Xenopus tropicalis: one gene and its partners. The protein of the gene in region 1 binds, or shares a complex with, the protein of each later gene. Links are inferred from orthologs where the notes say so. Each region holds a gene or a part of one and is shown in the gene's direction. Other genes may lie near its edges. The genes, in order: cnot9, cnot11, cnot7, cnot8, cnot2 and cnot10.

What was found.
Region 2: cnot9 (region 1) and cnot11 share a complex: the UniProt entries of both Homo sapiens proteins name them as parts of the CCR4-NOT complex. The link is inferred for Xenopus tropicalis from reciprocal best matches to the Homo sapiens genes CNOT9 and CNOT11.
Region 3: cnot9 (region 1) and cnot7 share a complex: the UniProt entries of both Homo sapiens proteins name them as parts of the CCR4-NOT complex. The link is inferred for Xenopus tropicalis from reciprocal best matches to the Homo sapiens genes CNOT9 and CNOT7.
Region 4: cnot9 (region 1) and cnot8 share a complex: the UniProt entries of both Homo sapiens proteins name them as parts of the CCR4-NOT complex. The link is inferred for Xenopus tropicalis from reciprocal best matches to the Homo sapiens genes CNOT9 and CNOT8.
Region 5: cnot9 (region 1) and cnot2 share a complex: the UniProt entries of both Homo sapiens proteins name them as parts of the CCR4-NOT complex. The link is inferred for Xenopus tropicalis from reciprocal best matches to the Homo sapiens genes CNOT9 and CNOT2.
Region 6: cnot9 (region 1) and cnot10 share a complex: the UniProt entries of both Homo sapiens proteins name them as parts of the CCR4-NOT complex. The link is inferred for Xenopus tropicalis from reciprocal best matches to the Homo sapiens genes CNOT9 and CNOT10.

What each region holds. Positions count from the first base shown.
Region 1 is NC_030685.2:82,339,204-82,343,210, forward strand, and holds the start of cnot9 (CCR4-NOT transcription complex subunit 9), read left to right. Parts: upstream 1-1,197; 5' UTR 1,198-1,462; coding exon 1,463-1,486; intron 1,487-2,496; coding exon 2,497-2,676; intron 2,677-4,007. UniProt on the Homo sapiens protein: Component of the CCR4-NOT complex which is one of the major cellular mRNA deadenylases and is linked to various cellular processes including bulk mRNA degradation, miRNA-mediated repression, translational repression during translational initiation and general transcription regulation.
Region 2 is NC_030678.2:110,381,411-110,384,959, forward strand, and holds part of cnot11 (CCR4-NOT transcription complex subunit 11), read left to right. Parts: intron 1-2,331; coding exon 2,332-2,496; intron 2,497-2,901; coding exon 2,902-3,054; intron 3,055-3,455; coding exon 3,456-3,549. UniProt on the Homo sapiens protein: Component of the CCR4-NOT complex which is one of the major cellular mRNA deadenylases and is linked to various cellular processes including bulk mRNA degradation, miRNA-mediated repression, translational repression during translational initiation and general transcription regulation.
Region 3 is NC_030677.2:42,299,963-42,304,115, reverse strand, and holds the start of cnot7 (CCR4-NOT transcription complex subunit 7), read left to right. Parts: upstream 1-1,312; 5' UTR 1,313-1,455; intron 1,456-1,462; exon of another isoform or gene 1,463-2,141; intron 2,142-2,944; 5' UTR 2,945-3,047; coding exon 3,048-3,164; intron 3,165-4,153. UniProt on the Homo sapiens protein: Has 3'-5' poly(A) exoribonuclease activity for synthetic poly(A) RNA substrate. Its function seems to be partially redundant with that of CNOT8.
Region 4 is NC_030679.2:19,855,443-19,859,751, forward strand, and holds the start of cnot8 (CCR4-NOT transcription complex subunit 8), read left to right. Parts: upstream 1-1,474; 5' UTR 1,475-1,558; intron 1,559-1,701; exon of another isoform or gene 1,702-1,725; intron 1,726-3,302; 5' UTR 3,303-3,390; coding exon 3,391-3,507; intron 3,508-4,309. UniProt on the Homo sapiens protein: Has 3'-5' poly(A) exoribonuclease activity for synthetic poly(A) RNA substrate. Its function seems to be partially redundant with that of CNOT7.
Region 5 is NC_030679.2:59,337,317-59,340,865, forward strand, and holds part of cnot2 (CCR4-NOT transcription complex subunit 2), read left to right. Parts: intron 1-1,408; coding exon 1,409-1,556; intron 1,557-3,549. UniProt on the Homo sapiens protein: Component of the CCR4-NOT complex which is one of the major cellular mRNA deadenylases and is linked to various cellular processes including bulk mRNA degradation, miRNA-mediated repression, translational repression during translational initiation and general transcription regulation.
Region 6 is NC_030682.2:50,256,200-50,259,617, forward strand, and holds the end of cnot10 (CCR4-NOT transcription complex subunit 10), read left to right. Parts: intron 1-2,407; coding exon 2,408-2,574; 3' UTR 2,575-2,893; downstream 2,894-3,418. UniProt on the Homo sapiens protein: Component of the CCR4-NOT complex which is one of the major cellular mRNA deadenylases and is linked to various cellular processes including bulk mRNA degradation, miRNA-mediated repression, translational repression during translational initiation and general transcription regulation.

The sequences.
Region 1 (4,007 bases):
TAAATGAACCCAATAGGACTGTTCTGCCCCCAATAAGGGGTAATTATATCTTAGTTGGGATCAATTACAGGTACTGTTTTATTATTACAGAGAAAAGGTAATCATTTAACCATTAAATAAACCCAATAGGGCTGTTCTGCCCCAATAAGGGGTAATTATATCTTAGTTGGGATCAAGTACAGGTACTGTTTTATTATTACAGAGAAAAGGAAATCATTTAACCATGAAATAAACCCAATAGGGCTGTTCTGCCCCCAATAAGGGGTAATTATATCTTAGTTGGGATCAAGTACAGGTACTGTTTTATTATTACAGAGAAAAGGGAATCATTTAACCATGAAATAAACCCAATAGGACTGTTCTGCCCCCAATAAGGGGTAATTATATCTTAGTTGGGATCAAGTACAGGTACTGTTTTATTATTACAGAGAAAAGGGAATCATTTAACCATTAAATAAACCCAATAGGGCTGTTCTGCCCCAATAAGGGGTAATTATATCTTAGTTGGGATCAAGTACAGGTACTGTTTTATTATTACAGAGAAAAAAGGAAATCAATTTTAAAAATGTAAATTATTTGATTAAAATGGAGTATATGGGAGACAGCCTTTCCGCAATTCGGAGCTTTCTGGATAATGGGTCCTATACCTGTACCCATAACACGCTTTCACATGGGAGGCTTCACTGGTAGAACTAAATCGCCCAGATACATCCAATAGTTTTTTTTCACCTTTTTCGGGGTAAGTGGTGGCCCTCCGTTCGCTGCCGGCCTACTTGCTTGGAATGGTACTAGAGCCGGTGGAACAGCAGCGGGAGGGCGGCAGGCTGACTAGAATACAGGGAGAGCGCCGGGTACTTGGTCGGATTGACACACAGAAAGCGATAAAAGACAAGAGAAATAGCCCGCAAACCGCATTCCTGTCACTGTGATTGTATGCTTTTCCCGGCGGCCCCCCGTCCCTCACCTTCTCTGGTTCTCCTTGCTCTCCTTCCAGTTCTCTCAGAGCGCCGACTGTCACGCAAGCACCAATTTGGCGGGAACCTTGGAATCAGCCGAACCTCTCTCTCACTGCGAACAGCGCCACAGCCAGAGGGGACGCGTGACGTCACCTCCAGCGCCGCACTCCGACCACGGCGCCGGGCGATGACGTCTGCAGCAGTCGATGCGTGGAACAGGGTGATGACGCAGGTGTTTGCCCGTATACTTGCTTTCTGCGCTTTCAAAACGTAATTTGTTAGCAAAATCTGGGGACCGGATGTATTCATGAGACGAAATGTTTGCTTCGTTATTTGTTTCACGGTGGCAGTAACGCTTTGACCAGAGTGGGTCGCGGTTTGATGACGTCCCGAGTAGAGGCGGAGCTCCGGTTGTTGTGGAGAGGTTCCGTGGAAGGAAGGGGGTGGTGCAAGGATTTGCAGCGGGGAGTAAGCGGTACCGAGGGAGGAAAGGAGGGCTCAGGAACATGCACAGCCTGGCCACGGCGGCGGTAGGTAGGCCCTCAGGGGCCACAGTGTATGTGTGTGTGTAAGGAGAGGGGGAGTCCCCTTGTCTATTGGGAACGGTGCGGTCAGGTTCATTGCAGGAATATCTGACAATCCTTCAGGTGTGGAGAGACTTGTAGTCCCACATGAGCTGCAGGGTCACAGCCTGTCCGGTTACTATTATTGTGGGTCCCGGGTTTGATCAAAGAAAGTTTATTGGCTGCTCCTGTCTTGTACCGCGAAGTGATGTGAAGTGATCCACTCTGCGTTCCGTAATTTCATACTATTCCCCTTTACTCCGCTCCATTCTGGAGTTTAAAGGGGAACTTCACTCATTTACTGTTTGGTGCATAAGGAAATCAAGTATAATTCTCAGCAACTCTCTACTGTCCATTCATTACGCGTTGTCATTGGCTAGAAAGTTCTTTATCATTGACTTTAAAAGCAGCGTATGCTTGTTTGTATTCTCTGCACTGCTGGTTCTGACTCCTTAAACAAGTTAGAAGTTGCAAAGTGATTCATTTATATATATAATATAATAACTGTAATGTTCTAGGAAAAAGTTTCAATCATTTCCAAGGGGTATTGGGCACCTAAACAGCATGGCATTTGCCTGAATGTCATCTTAATGTCACATGACTTAAATTCTGATCAATTAAAGGGGACCTGTCACCCCAAGAAATAATTCCAAATCCTTTTAAATCAGGTTAGTACAGCAAAATAAACTTTACTTACACGATTTCAATTATTGAATTTATTTTCCCTTCAGTCAGCAAGCTTTGTATCACCCCAAAATCTTATGCATTTGCCATCAAGGTGATGTATAGGAAGTGCTGAATGGAAAGTGAAAGCAATTGTTATTAAAAATCCGAGCTGTCAATCATATATTGCCTGCCCCGCCTCTATGCCTTCGGGATTTTATGTAGTATGGGGCCAATGGAGCGCATTTCTAGTGTGAATATGTGCATAAGCCACGTGTACTTGACCATTTATCTGTGTTTCTCTGTTTTATCAGCCTGTGCCGGCAGCTCTTGCTCAGGTGGATCGAGAGAAAATCTATCAGTGGATTAATGAGTTGTCCAGCCCTGATACCCGCGAGAATGCCTTGCTCGAGCTCAGCAAAAAGCGTGAATCCGTTCCAGACCTTGCTCCTATGCTGTGGCACTCCTTCGGCACAATAGCAGCACTTCTACAGGTTTGTTTTGCAGCTATTTGGATGCACAATTGCATTTTATTACTCACGTTTGTTGCGACTTTTTCGAGCTCTCAGTACGAAAGTTGCAACAATTCGCGAAAGTCGTAATGGGTATGAAAAAGTTATGACAATTCGCGAAAGTCGTAATGGCTATGAAAAAGTTGTGACAATTCGCGAAAGTCGTAATGGCAGTGAAAAAGTCACAATAGCAGCACTTCTACAGGTTTGTTTTGCAGCTATTTGGATGCACAATTGCATTTTATTACTCACGTTTGTTGCGACTTTTTCACGAATTGACGCAACTTTTTCGAGCTCTCAGTACGAAAGTTGCAACAATTCGCGAAAGTCGTAATGGGTATGAAAAAGTTATGACAATTCGCGAAAGTCGTAATGGCTATGAAAAAGTTGTGACAATTCGCGAAAGTCGTAATGGCAATGAAAAAGTCACAATAGCAGCACTTCTACAGGTTTGTTTTGCAGCTATTTGGATGCACAATTGCATTTTATTACTCACGTTTGTTGCGACTTTTTCGCGAATTGTCACGACTTTTTCGAGCTCTCAATACGAAAGTTGCAACAATTCGCGAAAGTCGTAATGGCTATGAAAAAGTTGTGACAATTCGTGAAAGTCGTAATGGCAATGAAAAAGTCACAATAGCAGCACTTCTACAGGTTTGTTTTGCAGCTATTTGGATGCACAATTGCATTTTATTACTCACGTTTGTTGCGACTTTTTCGCGAATTGACGCAACTTTTTCGAGCTCTCAATACGAAAGTTGGGACAATTCACGAAATTTGTAATGGCTATGAAAAAGTCGCGTCAATTCGCGCAAGTCGTAACGGTTACGAAAAAGTCGCAACAATTTACGGAAAAGTCGCAACGGCGACAAAAAAAACGCAAAAATACGGAAAAGTCGCAAAATGTTCATTTTTCAATCCGGATTCGTGGATTAGTAAATCAGCCCCATGGTGTACAAGGTGGGAGTACTTCCCCTTGAATGGCATTCACAAATCGAGGACACACAAATCGATTGTTGCTATAGAGTAACCAAGCACATCAAGTTGCTGGGATATCATTCGAGACCACTATGAGGCTACAACCTGTTTCCTCTGTGCTGAGTTCTGTGATCAACTGAGCGATAGCTTTGTATTTGTGTTTGATTAGAATTATGTCTTGGGTTGGGCAAGAATATTCCTAGGGATGCTTATAGGGGCAGCAAAGTGTTGCAAGGCACATCAGTTATTCATTCCATAGATACATAAAAAATTAAGGGTAAGTTTTTTTTTTTTTTTTTCAAAATGGGCTTTTCCAGTAAATGCAAATATATTAA
Region 2 (3,549 bases), on another chromosome or scaffold:
ATTTTGATCACCATGCCTAGTCTACTAAAAATCATTTTAACATTGAATAAACCCAATAGGATTGTTCTGCTTCCAATAAGGATTCATTATATCTTAATTAGGATCAAATTCATGGTACAGTACTGTTTTGATATTACAGAGAAAAAGGAAATCATTTTTTTCAATTATTTCTGAATTATTTGATTATATTGGCATCTGTTGGAAATGGCCTTTCTGTATTTCAGAGCTTTCTAGTTAACAGGTTTCTAGATACAGTATGTATGTTGTTTAGCCTTCTTGGTAATTCTAGTAAAATCCTGTTATCCACCTCAGAATATGCTGCATCTAGTACCAGAGACTAAAGCTACAGTAGTGTTTTTGGGGAGATATGGTGCAATAGGATTTGGAGCAGTTAAATTATTTTATATAATTGGTTTCCAATATTATACTGTGATTAGATTGTTTTTCTCTTTTTGGGAAAGACTATTAGTGTTTATTTCTGGCAGAAAACCTGACATTTCCTATTATGTAGCCAAGGGAAAGATTTTCCAGGGTGGAACTATTTCATAAGTGCTCTAATATGAGCAGCCTTATAAAATGGGTAATAACTTGGACATAAAACCCCTACAGATATTTTTATAGTAGAGAGTTAACTTTCCTTAGTGCAATTTTAGGATCCAATCAATTTTAAAGGAGAACTAAAGCTTAACTTAACTCTATTTAAAAAAAAAAAAAAAGTTTTTGGTAACTAGGACATTTTCACTGCGCATGTTCTTTCTAGACACAAAATATAGTATCTAAACCAAGATCCCATAAAAACAATCCGCACACCAGAGGCCACCCCTTTAGATTAGAGGAACGGAGCTTTCATTTGAAGCAGCGTAGGTGGTTTTTTTACGAGGGCAGTGAGGTTGGGGAATGCCCTTCCTAGTGATGTGGTAATGGCAGACTCTGTTAATGCCTATAAGAGGGGCTTGGATGAGTTCTTGAACAAGCATAGTATCCAAGGCTATTGTGATACTAATATCTACAGTTAGTATTAATGTTGGTATATATAGTTTATGTACGTGAGTGGATAGATAGGTCAGTATGTGTCTATATGTGTAAACTGGTTCACTTGAACTTGGTGGTCTTTTTTGAACCCAACTTAACTACTTTATATACTCAAGTATAAGCCTAGTTTTTCAGCACCCATGGGTCCGTCTAGACTAGCACCCTCTCTCCTTTGTGTGCAAATTAGGCCACCTGCAACCAGACCCTCCAGTGCCCTGGCCTAGGCTCCCACTAGCAATACTTATTTGCCCTTACATCTCCTCCGGGACCCGGTCTGCTGCCAGTTTGCCAATGTGCAATGAGCATAGGGTAGTACTCATATTGTTTTTGTTGACCCTCTTCTCCACTTACAGAGCTAGTTTACTGTTTTTCTTTGAAATAAATATTGAAAAACATATACCCCACTGATACCTCAATTTATGTAATTTTATTGGTATTTATTTTAATTATTAAAACTTAGCAGTAGCTGCTGTATTTCCCACCCTAGGCTTATACTTGAGTCAATAAGTTTTTCCAGTTTTCTTAGGTACGTCGGCTTATACTTGAGTATATACGGTATGTAACTATTCTGATAATTGTATTACTCCACTGAGTATTGGCCAAACCTAGTGAGGCAAATGGTTTAGCAGCAGGTCATTTGCATAAACTTGTTTTATATTTTCTCCCTGACTCTAAGTAGTCCCGTGATCTGGCGTCGTGCCTCAAGAACTGACGCAAGGGCTCAGTGAGTCCAGCAATGGGCTCCTTATTTTGTTAAATTTATATGGAGCTCCTCTTGCATTGTGTCAGTTTATAAAAGAATGTTTGTTTGTTTGTTTACTAAGGCTTTCCATCTGGTAAGAATCAGCCCAGTAAGGCCCATCCATGTCATTGCAACCAGCTTCTTGGTATAGAATAATGAGCAGTAGTGAATGAGTGTGAATTAGGTAACAAATTATCTGCAATGGACAAACTCTTGACGCAAAAGATTTGGTAGTGCTAGTTCATGATCAGGAACTAGAGTACTTTTGCCAATACCTTTGGACAGAGGGACATTTCAAGATAACATGCATAAAAGTTCCATTGTCAGTGATTGTAATACTTAAAAGTAACAGGAAGTCTTGTTTATGTGATTCCTCTTTATATTATAGTTATTGTTCTTGTAATGCTGGGTAGGTAAAGTAATATTTCTTATAAAAGATACCAGTATTTGTGTTTATATGTATTTTATATTTCTTCCTTTATCATTTTGCTTGATGGTGCAAATAAATGTGGAAATCAATATACAACATATGTGTTATATATCTATTGGTTTTACAGGATTTCTGCCTCCAATTACTCCACCAGAAAAATTTTTCCTCTCACAGTTGATGTTGGCACCACCAAGGGAGCTATTTAAAAAGACACCCAGGCAGATTGCTGTGATGGATGTGACCAGTTTGGCTCAACCAGTGGACATTAGTGGACTACAGTTAGCTCTTGCTGGTAAGGCATTCGAAAACATTCAGATGAACATATTGGGGCTAAAGCTGTCTCATAAAGGCTCAACATGTTAACAAACATATGCTGAGCATTACTTTTGCCATTATAAAGCAGTAATTCCCCACTCTCCACTATAAACAGGGTATTTGTTCAGTGAGAGATAATTTTCTGGGGTTTCTGGATAAGAGATTATGTAATTCGAATCACTATACCTTACATCTGCTAATAATCATTTAAACTTAAGTCAAGTAAACTTAAGTAGAATTTTTTTGCTGCTCCTTTAGTACAAGGTACTGTTTTATTGCTGAGAAAAAGGAAATCATTTTTAAAAATTAGAGTGATTGTTTTTTGTTTTTTTTATTTTAAAGCTTACTTTGTTGTATCTGCTGACTTTCTATTTCCCTCCAGAGCGCCAGTCTGAGCTCCCAACACAGAGCAAAGCCAGCTTTCCCAGTATTCTTAGTGACCCAGACCCAGATTCTTCCAATTCCGGCTTTGACAGTTCTGTTGCATCGCAAATAATAGAAGCATTAGTCAGCGGCCCAAAACCACCAATTGAAAGTACGTTTTGTTTTATTGTTTGTATATGTGTCTAAAACCAAGGTTTTATATTTAGTTAAGTAGTTAAATATACATACATTTTGAAAAACTACTGTAAGAAGTGTATTGAAATGTCTTATTAGTTTGCTTCAAAAACCGTATCCGTCACACTTTATGGCCAAGATTCAAGCTATCTTTATAAAAGACCTTATTAATAAAAGTGGTCACAGATCCTATCCAGTATCCATAATGTACAGCACTGCAGGATTTGACTAGCATTTAGTATAGTTATCTTATGAAGACCTGATATCTTTATATCTGTCCTTTGCTAATTATGAATTGCACACAAATAAAGTTGCAATATTAAAAATTGCTGATACTCACACACAGTGTATCTGAACCTGTCTTTGTGATGTTTCTAGGCCACTTTCGCCCAGAATTTATCCGTCCCCCACCTCCTCTTCATGTTTGTGAGGATGAGTTAGCCTGGCTCAATCTTATAGAACCAGATCATGC
Region 3 (4,153 bases), on another chromosome or scaffold:
TGTACCTTATTAACATTCCCCCCACTTCACAAGTGTACCTTATTAACCTTCCCCTTACTTCATAAGTGTACCTTATTATCATTCCCCCCCACTTCATAAGTGTACCTTATTAACATTCCCCCCCACTTCATAAGTGTACCTTATTAACATTCCCCCCCCACTTCATAAGTGTACCTTATTAACATTCCCCCCCCACTTCATAAGTGTACCTTATTAACATTCCCCCCACTTCATAAGTGTACCTTATTAACCTTCCCCCCCCACTTCATAAGTGTACCTTATTAACCTTCCCCCCCACTTCATAAGTGTACCTTATTAACCTTCCCCCCCACTTCATAAGTGTACCTTATTAACATTCCCCCCACTTCATAAGTGTACCTTATTAACATTCCCCCCCACTTCATAAGTGTACCTTATTAACATTCCCCCCCACTTCATAAGTGTACCTTATTAACATTCCCCCCCCACTTCATAAGTGTACCTTATTAACATTCCCCCCCCACTTCATAAGTGTACCTTATTAACCTTCCCCCCCCACTTCATAAGTGTACCTTATTAACCTTCCCCCCCACTTCATAAGTGTACCTTATTAACCTTCCCCCCCCACTTCATAAGTGTACCTTATTAACCTTCCCCTTACTTCATAAGTGTACCTTATTAACATTCCCCCCCACTTCATAAGTGTACCTTATTAACATTCCCCCCACTTCATAAGTGTACCTTATTAACATTCCCCCCACTTCATAAGTGTACCTTATTAACATTCCCCCCCACTTCATAAGTGTACCTTATTAACATTCCCCCCCACTTCATAAGTGTACCTTATTAACCTTCCCCCCCCACTTCATAAGTGTACCTTATTAACATTCCCCCCCACTTCATAAGTGTACCTTATTAACATTCCCCCCCACTTCATAAGTGTACCTTATTAACACCCCCCCAATTTCTAAGTGTACCTTATTAACCTTCAACCCTCACTCAGATAACATTAAATAAAACCGCAAGATACAGTCGGCTGTCACTTCCTCTTACACCCCCAGTTGTCCCTTGCCGTGCTACACAACATGTATGTAACCTTCCCTACGCACCATGATATCTGAGAGAAGCCATACACGCAGTTGTCACATACCTGCACACACATACTAGATAGACAGTTGTGTGTTTATCCCATCAAGCACAATCCCAGTTGCCACTTACTTTCACTCTCCATGGGTCGCGCCGTATGACGCACAGCCTGTGACATCATGTCACCTACCAGCTTGAGAAGGGGATGGTTTTCCACGCCTTTGTGGCGGCTTGACGTCATCCAAGTGCGTCCGGGAGGAGGTTAGCAGGAACCTGCCGTGGGACTGGCGCGTCGCTCGCATGACGTGTAGGGGCCTCGGTAATCTCCTGTGCGAGCCCTGGGAGCGCGGTCGTGAAGTGACAGACCGGCAGCGGCCAGACTTATCTTAGGTAGGGCAGGGATAGTGTCGGGCTGTGAGCCTTACAGAACGGATACGGAGCAGTGGGATGGCACACACACACACACTGGGCACAACCAGAGGCGGCTGTATTGTCTGTCACAAGCATCAGTAGGCATTGGTGCTTAGCGCACATACCGTGACTATGGGCCAGTATCCAGTCGGGGAGCCTCCAGCTCGTTCAATCACAAGGGACGCAGAAGGGATACTTGCACCTGAACAGCTTTTATTGGCAGCTGTGTGGCGAACCCCTAGCTCGTAAACTACATTACCCAGCATCCTTCATCAGCCAAAGGATACGCTTCAGCAACAAGTGCAGCTGGACATCTTCCTGTCTACCCCGCAAGACAGTTCAGGGAGACCTGCTTCTCCCCATTCATTTCTGGCTTTTATTAAAGGGGCAGTATACCCCCTTGTTCATTATGATTGCAATGAATAGAACTTGTGCTGATCATACTTTTTGTCTGTTTTAATCAGGAAACATTTATTGTTTTTGATGTTTTCTGTGCTAAACAGTCAACTGAAGCTCATGCATGTTTTGTGAGGCAGATCATTATCAGTGCACAAAGGAAATCCTGCCAACCTGTAAGCCAAACTAGACATAACAAAGGGTGATGGGATGAGGGTTGTTTATACAGAGCTCAGTATATCTAGATAAACTAACTCATCTAATTAATGGTAAGAGAGTAAGCATAGGAGAAAACAAATGCTTCATTTCTGATTTATTATAATGTTATCACTAAGAAATATGCAATTTTTTCAGTTGATATGTTCAATGATATGCTGTATTATTTGCATATGTTCTATTTATTTTGCTAATGTTGTATATTGGCATATACTGCCCCTTTAACACATGATCTGCATAAAACATGGTCTGCATCCAGGGTGGCACCTAGAGATTCTTATGTATAGAACTCTGGTATGGTCACTTTCCAAGAGTTGTAATAATACTGCTAGCCTACATTATTACTACCCAGTTGAAGCCTAACAGTACCAGCTGTGTTCATTATCTCTGCTTAGTGATGGGCCAGAAAGCTCAGATTGCTGGGCCTTGCTGTATAGAGCACTAAGGCAAAATAGAATTATGCTACTCCCTAAAGAAGCCACAGTGTTGACTTAAAAGATGGCTTTACAACTATTACCATGGGTAGAGAGAAGAAATATTCTATTTATACACTTTTGTGCTTCAACCACAACTTCCCCTAACTCATATTAACAATGGATCACCATATATGGGCAAAATACAAAAATCAATTTTTGGGTAATGTCATGGACCAAACACACTCCATAGTCAGAGGATCCCCATTCCTAATATAAAATGTATTGCACAAAGTGCATATTGTTCAAAAGGTGGTGGCATGCACATGGGCCACCTTTCCCCTTTCTTGGCATTTCCTGATATGTTCTGCCTGCTAGTATTATACCGGTATATTATTTTTTATTTGTTAGTAAAATAAAAACTATTCTTCTTTTAATTTTAGATTTAGCAGCTGATTTCGGCCTCGGCCTACCACCTATGAAACCCTTTAATAGCTAATTGCAAAATTTTGATGCCTGCCTCTGAGTCAGTCCCCCAGACCCACTATGCCAGCTGCAACAGTGGACCTCAGCCAGCGAATTTGCGAAGTCTGGGCTTGCAACCTGGATGATCAAATGAAGAGAATCCGCCAAGTTATACGCAAGTATAATTATGTTGCAATGGTATGTTTAGGATGTTTGTTTCCCCTCCAAAAATGTTTTTCATTTTTGAAATTGGCATTAAGAGTTCAGGAATATTTAAGATTTTATAGATTTTTGAGTCTCCTCAAAGGGGAACCTATTTACTGTTTATAAGCAATCCTTGCTTGCAGTATCTGCCACACTGCTTCCGCTGTCAGGGTAATATTATATCAACTATAGACTCTAATGGCCCAATGTTTCGTGTGACATAACAATAATAGAATAATTAATTTACTTTAATATGCAATATAAGTACTTGTTTACATTAAAATATTAATATTTTTTTTGTCCAGTACAATGGGTTCGGTTTATATTGCAGTTATAATTTTTCTAGTGTGTAGAAACAAGTCAGGCTGCTTACTGCACTTATTTGTTAAAGATATTTCTAAGTAGAACTAAAGCCTAAAAAAAAAGAATATGGCTAGAAATGCTGTATTTTCTATTCTAAGCTAATTGTAGCAGCTTTATGATAGTAAAGATCCATGGGCTCAACTGCTAAAGGTGTATGGTGGCCATGGTCTGGTAAGGTGCCTGCCATTGGGTAGGCTAGGTAGCAACTAAAACTCTTAGAATAGTGGCACACGGTGCTGTTTCAGGGACTTTGATTAACATATTTTTAAAGGAGAACTTTACTTCCGGATGGCACTCTTTGCCTAGACCCCCCCCCCACCTCTCCCATATCGCATTGTTTTCAAGTTTACACTCTGTCCCTATTGCTGACTGCTAGCTAAAAATGCAGACAAGCGCAACCGCGTACCTCGCCAACATCTTACCGACTGAAGACTCTTTGGGTCTCACAGCCGACACCTAACCTGCTTGAGAATGCGCAGTTGAAGCAGATTTCCTGCTACCTACAACTACTCATGCGCAAGCAGGTTCGTATCGGCGGTGAGACCCAAAGTGTCTTCAGTTGGTAAGAAAATGTCGGCCAGGTACGCGGCTGCGCTTCTTTGCATTTTTAGTTAGTGATA
Region 4 (4,309 bases), on another chromosome or scaffold:
TTAGTCTCTACTTGTCAGCTACGTCAACCTGACCTAGGATTGCTGCCTGTCTGGTTATTTGAATTTGAAAATTCAGACAGGACTCAGAAAAAAATGACGCTGTGTTCAGACAATCATCCCCATCTGGACTTATCATATTGAAAAGGCAGCAACTTTAACCAGGCCCTAGCTGCGGCCAGGGGGGACATTTTGTAACGCTCTCTGTAACGTTGCTGCACATGCACGAGTGCTCTTTTAAAGTTGCTAAATGCTGACTGTTTGCACATAATTTGCCAGAGAACCTGTAAAACCCAGGGGTAAAAGGTAAATTCCAACAAAATTGGGGGAGTTGAGAGTTATGCTTTTTAGGGTGAAGACACACTGAGCTACTAGTAGCAGCTTCTTTTTTGCACTACTAAACCCGAAAATCCCCTGCCATAGACAATACTGAGAATTGCCTCTGCTAAAACACACGTAGAGACAGTTATCAGTAAATGATCAGCACTGTCTATTTTAGTAGCCACGACAAGTAGCTGCTACTAGTAGCTCTGTGTGTCTTCACCCATATGAGGAGGGTTTATAACGTGGAGCCTGTGGGACTTCAAAATCTTCATTTTTGCATCTGGATTCAGAATGCAATGTAATGTAAATGTATAGAATTTTTACATTTTCCTTGTGCTTCTATATGGAAATAAGGGTTTGAAGCAATATCATGATAATGCAATATTTATAATTTTGAGATTCTACTCTCAAATATTATATTCAAATTCATACTTTAAAACTAAGTTTGGTTACTACAGTTAGAGTTATTACTACATACCAGGCTACTAGAAAGGAAATTGTGAAGGTAATTGCATTATTAATTGCTTTACTTCCACTTTCACCCCTAGGATCTCAGTAGTGTCAGTTTATACGCGTTTTGCACGTTTTCAATGCGTGATTAGTATACGGGTATAAATATACGTGTACATAACAAATTTCTTAACCAACAATTTTAAATTATATTATATCATATTTTATCATATGTTGACCAATACTGAATGTATAAGTTTTCAACGGCTGTTATTATTTGTACTGCAGATTATTTTTCTGCATAATGTAAATATTAATGTTTGAAAATATTTTAATGCCTTTATTTGGCTATAATGTTTAAAAAATCCCAATAAAAATGATTGAAACTACTTCCACTTTCGTCTTATTTACTTTTTGAGCTTATGTGCAACTTTTTTCTAGAATATAAATATCCTCCCCTTCAACACAATCCAATAACACAAATGGCATTTGAATACATAGTTCATAGTAATGCCTCACGAATTCTGCAAATCCAGTGCTGCGGCATAGCCTTCACGCATGCCCATTAGAGTCATTCAGTTTCCTTTCAACTGCGCATGCTCCGGGCCTACCTCGCTTGCTCGACTTCCTGGGTTCGGAACGCGTTTTTGATTGGCTTTTCGATCCTGACCATAGAGAGCAGTGGCTAGAGCGCCCGCCGAGTCAGCCATTGAACGTTACCGTAGAGTACGCACAAGTAGGAGATATACGTTCGTGCTGCCCTCTGCTTCGGGTCGGAGCCCGGGAGGTGAGATTGATCAGAAAGCCGGCTAAGGGGAGTTTTGTTTTTTAAATGCATCTGCTACGAACAGTACCCGGCAAGCGTCTCTCAAACCGTTTCCAGCCAATGTGCTGGAGACCTGCAGGATGGACATTTAAGATTTATTTCTAATATACGCTAGCCATCGGTAGCCTGTAGGCAACATCCTTATAAACCGCGTTTAATAATGTCATTACTTATAATCTGTGCTTAGTTCTTTAATTTGTGGAATGACTTACTGAAACTTGTGTCTTAGTCAGAATAGTTTATACTAGGTTGTAAGATATAAGGATATTAGGAGTCACAGTAAAGTTCCATAGACATATAAAGGAGCAATTGGCATATAACTCCTCCTTGGCTTCTAATATACTTATATTTTGCAACAGTAGGTGCATCATTTCCTATATTGTTAACAGGGAAATCTTACCACAAGGGAAGGGGGGTAGATAAATGTACAATGAATTTAAGAAATACTGTATTATTAAATGACAAAGCCAATGTTAATATATGTTTAATATATAGTGTGAAGGAAAAAAATGGCTCTTGTGTACTGTTACATGGGAGCCATACATATCCTGTAAATGATATCCTTATAAATGCTGCTTGGCAATTTAATTTCTGCCACATGGTTGCCAAAACTTGTGTCTTATAATTAAATACTTCTGTTGTAAAAAAGAAGGATATTAGAGGTCATCCCAGAGTAAAATGGCCTGTATAAAAGGACTTGGCCTTCGACCTCATGCTTTAATATAATTACATTTCTCAGTGACTTATAATATCCTTATATTTTACAATAGGGGGTACAATATTCATTATACACCATCTTCTGCAGTGAGATTATACATCATTCCCTGCCCCAGGGTACTTTCACATTCACATACAACGGTTTTCATTAGGGGCCAATTAACCTGCCTGTAGTTTTATTGCGGTGTGGAAGGAAACCACTGTAAGCATAAGGCAGTGCTGTGTCCATAAATGAACCAAGGACCTCAGGGCTGCAAGACAAAAGTGCTAACCACTGCAACAAAAATGTCCCAAGTTGTGTATTAGAACCAAAGGTAAGGTAAAAGTCAGTGGGGACCAATTAGCTAGTCACACCCAGTGAATACAATAGGTTACTTTTTACACCAGTCCGGCATTTCTCTATTGTAAAAAATGTTCTGGACTGCAGCCCCCCTACAACCAAGTTTTGAGCTTCTTAGTGAATTGTAGTAATCTGCGATCTAAACGACTGAGGCTTTTTTCTGTTGCTGATCTAAAGGGGTTAAACAAGGATGTCCTAATTGTGGCTGATCAGCCAAATTACTACTTAAAAGATGCTGGAGTTCTGCTTTGGCCAACTGACTGATTAAACTAAATATTTTATTGCATTAACTCCACACACCCTAACCATTGTGAAGTTGAAAAATGGACCAAATGGGATGAATAATCTATGTGCCCAGGCAGCTAACTCACCTGATGGATATGTAATATACTTATAGTGGTGTAGCAGTTTCATGAACTGTATTACTATAAATACTGCCAGGTGTTAGAATACTAATATACAAGGCAAGGCAAATGGTGGCAGGAGAACATTTCCCTGTATTCACCATCCGCAAGGCTAACAGGGTAGTGTTTCCCAGTGTTGCCTTTCCCTTACCTATAATTGTTTAATATGTCTTTTGATTGCAAATTCTTAATATGTTTGGGTTTCTGCAAGTTAACCTTAAAGTATATATTTTAAAATTTTTAGGTAAGAGACATCACCTCTGTCTGGGGAAAACACTGCTTGATTTTCTGTCTGTACCACACATCTCACTGGCCACCTTTCTGAATTCAAGATGCCTGCAGCAGTGGTAGATAATAGCCAAGTGATATGTGAGGTGTGGGCTGTCAACTTGGAGGAGGAGATGCATAAAATTAGAGAGCTTGTTCGCACTTATGGCTACATAGCAATGGTAAGTCTACATTAAACTGACACTTTGTCTGCGTGGGTATATTATTATATTACCCCCTTATCCCAGTTGCAATTGAGATGTATAGGGTTTTGGCTTTTGACAGGCCTATTGGGATTCATCAGGATTGCTGGTTGACTCTGACTAAAGGTGCCCATACACGTGAAGATTTGCTCGCTTGGCGATGTCGCCAAGCAAGCGGATCTTCACCTGATATCCCCACCTACGGGGGGGGAGATATCGGGGAACATGTAGGCTAATTTGATCCCTGGGGCCAAATGATTGAATTATAATGGCGGTCCCCGGTCCGACTAAATCTTTTAACCTGCCCGACCGTTGTTTCTGCCCCTACATGGCCTACAGTCGGGCCGTGTATGTGGACCTTCACTCTTTTTTGTGCACAAGTAGTGTCTGTGATCATAAGCCTTAAGTCTGTTTTAAGTATAAGTAGGGCTTGTGTCAAAAATGCATTGTGCACATTCCTTTAATACAAAAATATAATCAAGAGAGTTATAGAGATATAAAGGAAAATAACAACATATGTATAATTTAACCCCACCCTATCCCACAATGCTGCCTATGTAATATGCTAAGAGAAGGAGTTTGTTCTCTATACAGGAGTTTAACTGGTACAGGTGGTAACTACCCCTTTCCACAGCTGCTCTGAAGATCTTAGTAGGTAGGATCGAGTGTAAAGGTCAATGTGCCACAATGTATTTAGAGCCCTATTTATTGGATTTATATTGAACTTGGGTACATTTGTAAGCTTATTCATTGTATAAACTCACTGTTTGTACTATTGTAC
Region 5 (3,549 bases), on another chromosome or scaffold:
TACTTCTTTTTCCATATGTTTTATATAGCATTTCTCATAAAGAAAAAAACAAACCCAATTTAAATACATGTATTTCTTGTGATCGATTTAACAGAACTAGCATGAGTAGGTTTGCTAGATAACAAATAATGTTTACTTGTTATCGTTAAGCTTAATGCTTTTCCATTCAAAAGAGCTCATAAAAAAAAACACTTAATGTGCTCCAAATTCCAAGGAACCAGCTTCCTACCATGACATGTTGAATGATTAAAGCTGGTGCAGCAACATCAAATTTAATAGTTGCCACTTACTCATGTTCAATTTTACTTGATTATTGGCTGTGCCTTTTTAGGATATGAATTACTTGATTTTGGGCCTTTGCCCAAAATTGGGTGTATTGGCTGTGTCAGTGGCAACTCAGTAAATATAAGAGCAATACACCAACACGTGTCAGGTATTTATTTGCTCTTCAAATGGTATACAGTAATACATTTTACCAAGACCAGTATTAATGCTAGTATTAACCACATAGTCCATCTATATATTGATTTCTATGCAGCAGCCAGTAAAATTGTGTGATCTTATTTGAACACTCAGTGGATTGAATTTTGAAAGTCACAAAGAATTATACTACTCATATGTTGTCATACTTGAAGCTGAATTTATCTACACTGATGGTTCAAGATTCAGAACAATGCATATGTAAAGCTGTTTCTCATTGAAATGCCTCATACTTATTGATTTATTTCCAAGATACTTGATAACTTGAAAGCATTTAAAGGGGAAGGAAAGGCTAAGTCACTTGGGGGTGCCAAAATGTTAGGCACCCCCAAGTGACTTAGATCGCTTACCTTGTACCCTGGGCTGGTGCCCCTGTTAGGAGAAAAGAGCACCAGCCCAGGGTACCTGTAGGAAGTGCTTCCTCCTTCCTTTTTCTTCTGCCTGCGAAATCCGTTGGCCGGCGCATGCGCAGTAGAGTAAAAAGCCGACTTTCTTGTTTAAGTTCGGCTTTTCACTCTACTGCGCATGCGTGCGCAAGCGAAAAGGAAGGAAGAAGCGCTCGCTGCTACCCCGGGCTGGTGCTGTTCTCTCCGTACAGGGGCACCAGCCCGGGGTAAAAGGTAAGCGATCTAAGTCACTTGGGGGTGCCTAACATTTTGGCACCCCCAAGTGACTTAGCCTTTCCTTCTCCTTTAAAAGTAATACATGTTAAAATTCTGGGTTACAAAAAATCCAAAATGCCATATTTTACCAGCAATTTTTAATAACAGATGTGGAGCTCAAAGGCAGTAACTATAATGTCTCAGATCACTATGCTGGCTTTTAATACCTTTAAGGAGGAAGTAAAATATTGCTTTTAAAGTGATGCTGAAACTTGATGAGATATATTGATATATATATATTTTGTATCTTATTAATCATTGTACAGGTGCACTAGGCCTTCCAATGAGGGGGATGAGCAACAATACTCCTCAATTAAACCGCAGCTTATCACAAGGCACTCAGTTACAAAACCATGTAACGCCTACTACAGGGGTACCAACAATGTCGCTTCATACACCGCCATCTCCAAACAGGTATGGAAAAATAAAACATGACTAGCAATAAAAAGAAAGTTATGATGAAAATGAAGTTACAGTTTGTGTTAGAAAAGCTCTTAACCAGTTTGCAGTTTAAAATAGTTAAGTGAAACGGCATAGGCATACATTTGTATTATAGGGATCTATTATATATTTTACAGTTAATCTTATTTTTTTTTTTTTTTTTTTTTTTTTTTAAAGCATCAGTTTGTGACATGAGAAGCCATGTACTTGGCAACTGTGAATATTTCCATGTTTTATGTGCATAGTTTATTAAAGAAAAATAAATGTGTAGAGCAATATTCTGGAATTATTTGTTCTCAACAATTTTTGAGTACATGTATTGTCTACAGGTATTTGCAGATACAGTATATATGTGTATATGTATGTGTATATATGTGTATATGTATATACATACAAACCAGTTTGGTTTGTCCCTGAGGAAGAGTACAGTTAGTACTCGAAACGTTGGATTTTTTTGAATAAAATGTTTTCACTTTATCGTTAAGTCCTTGTGTGTGCAGCTCTCTGTTCATATATTGCCTCATTTTAGCCAGCACCCACAATAAAGTACAGGATCAGTGGCCTGGGTGCAGTCCAAATCACAATTGCATAGATACTCGAACAGAAGGACCGCTTCACACAGGACTTATGAAGAAATGTAGTTTTATTCACGCATCACAAATGGAGACTGACGTTTCGGCCGGACTCCCAGCCTTTCTCAAAGTAACATATTGTGTAAACTGCACATCTAAATACATTTAGTGGCGGGAAACAAGGTGATGACGTAGGATGTGACGTGTATCAAGACGGACCAAATATGTGAAATATTCAAACATCAACACTTAAACTAAATAGACAAAATCAATGGACATAAACAAATGTGTAATGTACAAAAATCTCGTAGGTAGTTCTAACAGGGTTCTACTCTCTATATATATTCAATAGCACCCGTAATTCATACAAATATCTCGGTGGACCTTCATAAGTAACATCAGGCTGATCAGATCGACAGATTTAAGTCATATATTAGGCATATACAGAACTGTTTCTTAGTATAGTATCTATATATATGTACAGTGGCTTGCAAAAGTGTTCGGCCCCCTTGAACTTTTCCACATTTTGTCACATTACAGCCACAAACATGAATCAATTTTATTGGAATTCCACGTGAAAGACCAATACAAAGTGGTGTACACGTGAGAAGTGGAACGAAAATCATACATGATTCCAAACATTTTTTACAAATAAATAACTGCAAAGTGGGGTGTGCGTAATTATTCAGCCCCCTTTGGTCTGAGTGCAGTCAGTTGCCCATAGACATTGCGTGATGAGTGCTAATGACTAAACAGAGTGCCCCTGTGTGTAATCTAATGTCAGTACAAATACAGAGGCTCTGTAACGGCCTCAGAGGTTGTCTAAGAGAATATTGGGAGCAACAACATATGAAGTCCAAAGAACACACCAGACAGGTCAGGGATAAAGTTATTGAGAAATTTAAAGCAGGCTTAGGCTACAAAAAGATTTCCAAAGCTTTGAACATCCCACGGAGCACTGTTCAAGTGATCATTCAGAAATGGAAGGAGTATGGCACAACTGTAAACCTACCAAGACAAGGCCGTCCACCTAAACTCACAGGCTGAACAAGGAGAGCGCTGATCAGAAATGCAGCCAAGAGGCCCATGGTGACTCTGGACGAGCTGCAGAGATCTACAGCTCAGGTGGGGGAATCTGTCCATAGGACAACTATTAGTTGTGCACTGCACAAAGTTGGCCTTTATGGAAGAGTGGCAAGAAGAAAGCCATTGTTAATAGCAAACCATAAGAAGTACCGTTTGCAGTTTGCCACAAGCCATGTGGGGGACACAGCAAACATGTGGAAGAAGGTGCTCTGGTCAGATGAGACCAAAATGGAACTTTTTGGCCAAAATGCAAAACGCTATGTGTGGCAGAAAACTAACACTGCACATCACTCTGAACACACCATCCA
Region 6 (3,418 bases), on another chromosome or scaffold:
GCTGAAACTCCGTGTTGCTCAGCGACAGCCCCGAAACCTGACAGATCTAGAGGAGATCTGTGTGGAGGAGTGGGACAAAATCCCTGTTGCAGTGTGTGCAAACCTGGTCAAGAACTACAGGAAATGTTTGGCCTCTGTAATTGCAAACAAAGGTTTCTGTACCAAATATTAACACTGATTTTCTCAGGTGTTCAAATAGTTATGTGCAGCAGTGAAATACAAAAATATTCTTTAAAAATCATACAATATTATGTCCTGAATTTTTTTTTTAAATGCTGTCTCTCACAGTGGGAATGCACCTACAATGTGAGTTTCAGACCCCGCCATGATTTCTAAGTGGGAGAACTTGCAAAATCGCAGGGTGTTCAAATATGTTCCTCACTGTAGCTATAGGAATCGTGTTATTTGCCTACTGGCAGCACCAGGGTTAATTTTTTTATTCTCTTTTCTCTTTTAAATGTCATTTAATTTAAGTGTTGGTGGGGGAAATTCTGAAGTGTTTTTACTCATTTTCTAAAGGCTTTCTATATATGACTGAAATCCATATTTCTACTGAAAGTAATTCGAGTTGTACATTTGTGTAATTGCATGGGTCCACAGCTGCGAAACCTCTCTCTCCATTGCTCCTTATATCTGTGCTTCCGATCTACGCTTTCTGCTTGCATGAAATAAGTATGCAAAGGTTCCAGCAGAGGAGTAGAATCCATATCCCATGCATATTTTATAAATGTAACATCATTTAAGTGAATATCCAAATTGCTTCATATCCCGATCCTCATGGGCATTCCCTGGTGCCATACTTGAATCATTAAAGTTTCCTTGCATGATACATTTACCCACTAGGGTTCCCATTCAAGAAAATCAATGTTCACAAACGCTCCACTGTGGTTGTCTCTCTGACAGATGGCATTGCCATGAGATCATATTTACACTGGAACAGGCATTCTGACATTAATATATTGGCACGTTATTGCATTATGCTATTCCCAGACACATTCTCTATTAGACCTTGAAAAATATTTGCATCCAGCATCCACATTTTCCTTTGTGTAATCCTAGCTCCTATAAAATGGGTTCTGCTGCTCCCCATGGATTGATTCCATTTAAACAAATTAGACCTAAAAGTGGGCAGTACTAGGCTTGGCCATTATAAAGATGTTAAGTGATTCAGTTGTCAGGGACCTGTTATCCAGAATGCTTGGGATCTGGGGTTTTCTCAATAAGGGATCTTTCCATAATTTGGAACCCCATACATTAAGTCTACTAAAAATCATTTAAACACTAAATAAACCAAAAATTATTGTTTTGCATCCAATATGGATTCATTATTTCTTAGTTTGGACCAAGTACAAGGTACGGTTTTATTAATAAAGAGAAAAAAGAATTTTGTAAAATTTTGAATTATTTGATTATAATGGAGGACATCGGAGCTGGCCTTCCCATAATTTGGAGCTTTCTGGATGACAGAACCCATACATTTACCTGAAATTAATTGGAAACATACATTTTGTTTACTTTTGGGACAAAATGATATACTAGGGAAAAAAGGTAAAGCCTACTTTTGTGTTTGCGTGTTGAAGTTTGGCAGAAATATACCCATGTTTTGCTGTATGGCTGGGATTTTGGATGCACACACTCAGCATCAGAGTACAGAGCATTTACTGTAATAACAGAAATAAACCTAATATTGAAGAAAATAAAGTGTTAAATGAAATTGAACTGTACATGCTAGCTAGATAAGGGCTTGTACTCTCACACATTTCTTTCTGTGCTGCTCGACAGTGGCGTTCTCCTACGTTCCACCGCAGGGGAGCACAGGGATAAGTGCAACCCTTTCTTCCTAATGGGGCTGTACTAACGCAGGCACAGGTCAGCACCAAAAGCAGGGGAATGCAACATTAGTACAGACCCATAAGGAAGAATGGGAAGCACTTCTTCCTGTGCTCCCCCCGCGGTGGAACGTAGGAGAACGCCACTGTCAGGCAGCACAGAAAGAAACACGTGTGAGTACGAGCCCTAAAAGTCTTCCTTGCAGAACACTTCTTGTTCAGAAATATTCTTTGGTTGTGCACAAGCACTGTGTGTCGACCCTAAAACTAACTATAACAGTAATCTGGGGACTGTGAAGGCCTTCCCTAAACCTTGAAATCAGATTTATTTTATTTTCAGCTTTGGTTGCGGACGTTTAAATATTGATTAATTCAGATTTTAGCTGATCAGCATCAAACAACAATAAAATATTCTGTATCTGGTATAAAAGAACAACATAAATCTAAGGCACAACAATAGGCTGGTTTAAGTGTAATGGTTGTTCGGGTCAAAGCATTTTGTAAAATGTTGAAACATCCAAAGCCAAATAAAACCAATCTTTCTGCTCAAAGCACTGTATTTATTTTTGTTTTTGTAGGCAATACCCAGCTGGCCTTGCAGATCATCAAAAGGAATCAGCTTCTCCCGTCCATCAGAATGATGTCAGATCTTCGAAAGAAGCCATTATTCCAGACAATGCATCAGCCAATGCAGCCAATGCAGCCAATTCAGATGCCAGCTTTTACTGCTGTTCAGAGAAAATGATTTATGGTGGTCCAGGGACTTGTAGAGAACATGGCCTCAAACCATTCAACTCAATTACTCAGTGATCTGGCGAATGTTCTTGGCATACTTCACTCCTGCTTTATCCACAGTATACATAATGTACAAAGGATCACATGTGCCAGGTTCATCAATTTTAACCAAGTAGGAAATCATGCCCTGTGACCTTTGACATGGGATTTCATCCTTGTTTTTGTAAGGAATGGAAGAAGTCATGACTTTTATATATAAAAAAAAATGTAAAGCCATCATATGGTCAGATTAGGATAACACTGGTATATTAAAAGTATTTTCTTGCTCACTTGTGTGTGTGTGTAGTAATGGTTGGAGATGGGAATGGTTATTGTGGGTATAGAATATCTTAAGGGCCAATTTAACTGGCTAGTTTAAGTTGACCAGTACTTGCCATTGAGCACAGAGCTTGATATAGGGGTTGGCTCTGTGCGCAGTGTACAACATGATATATAAAGCCAGATAATAGCAAGCTAGATAAGTTTAAAGGAAGGTAAAAACTAAGTAAGCTTTATCAGAAGGGTCTATGTAAATACAGCCATAAGCACTCACAGAAACGCTGCACTGAGTTCTCTGTCAAAAGATTTGTTGTGTCTGTTTTCTTCTGCCAGAGACACGCAGCTCTCTCATCTCTCCCCCCTCCCTCAAGAATGCTAAGAACTCACTCCCTTCTCTTGCTCTTGGTGCAGGAGCGAGGCATTATGGGAACTTTCTTTACACAGCTCAGCATTTTTTCTTCCTGTTTGGCTTCTGATCATCTGAACAGGAGAAATATGGGGAGACTTAATGGCACTATTGAGAGAACTAAAGAGAA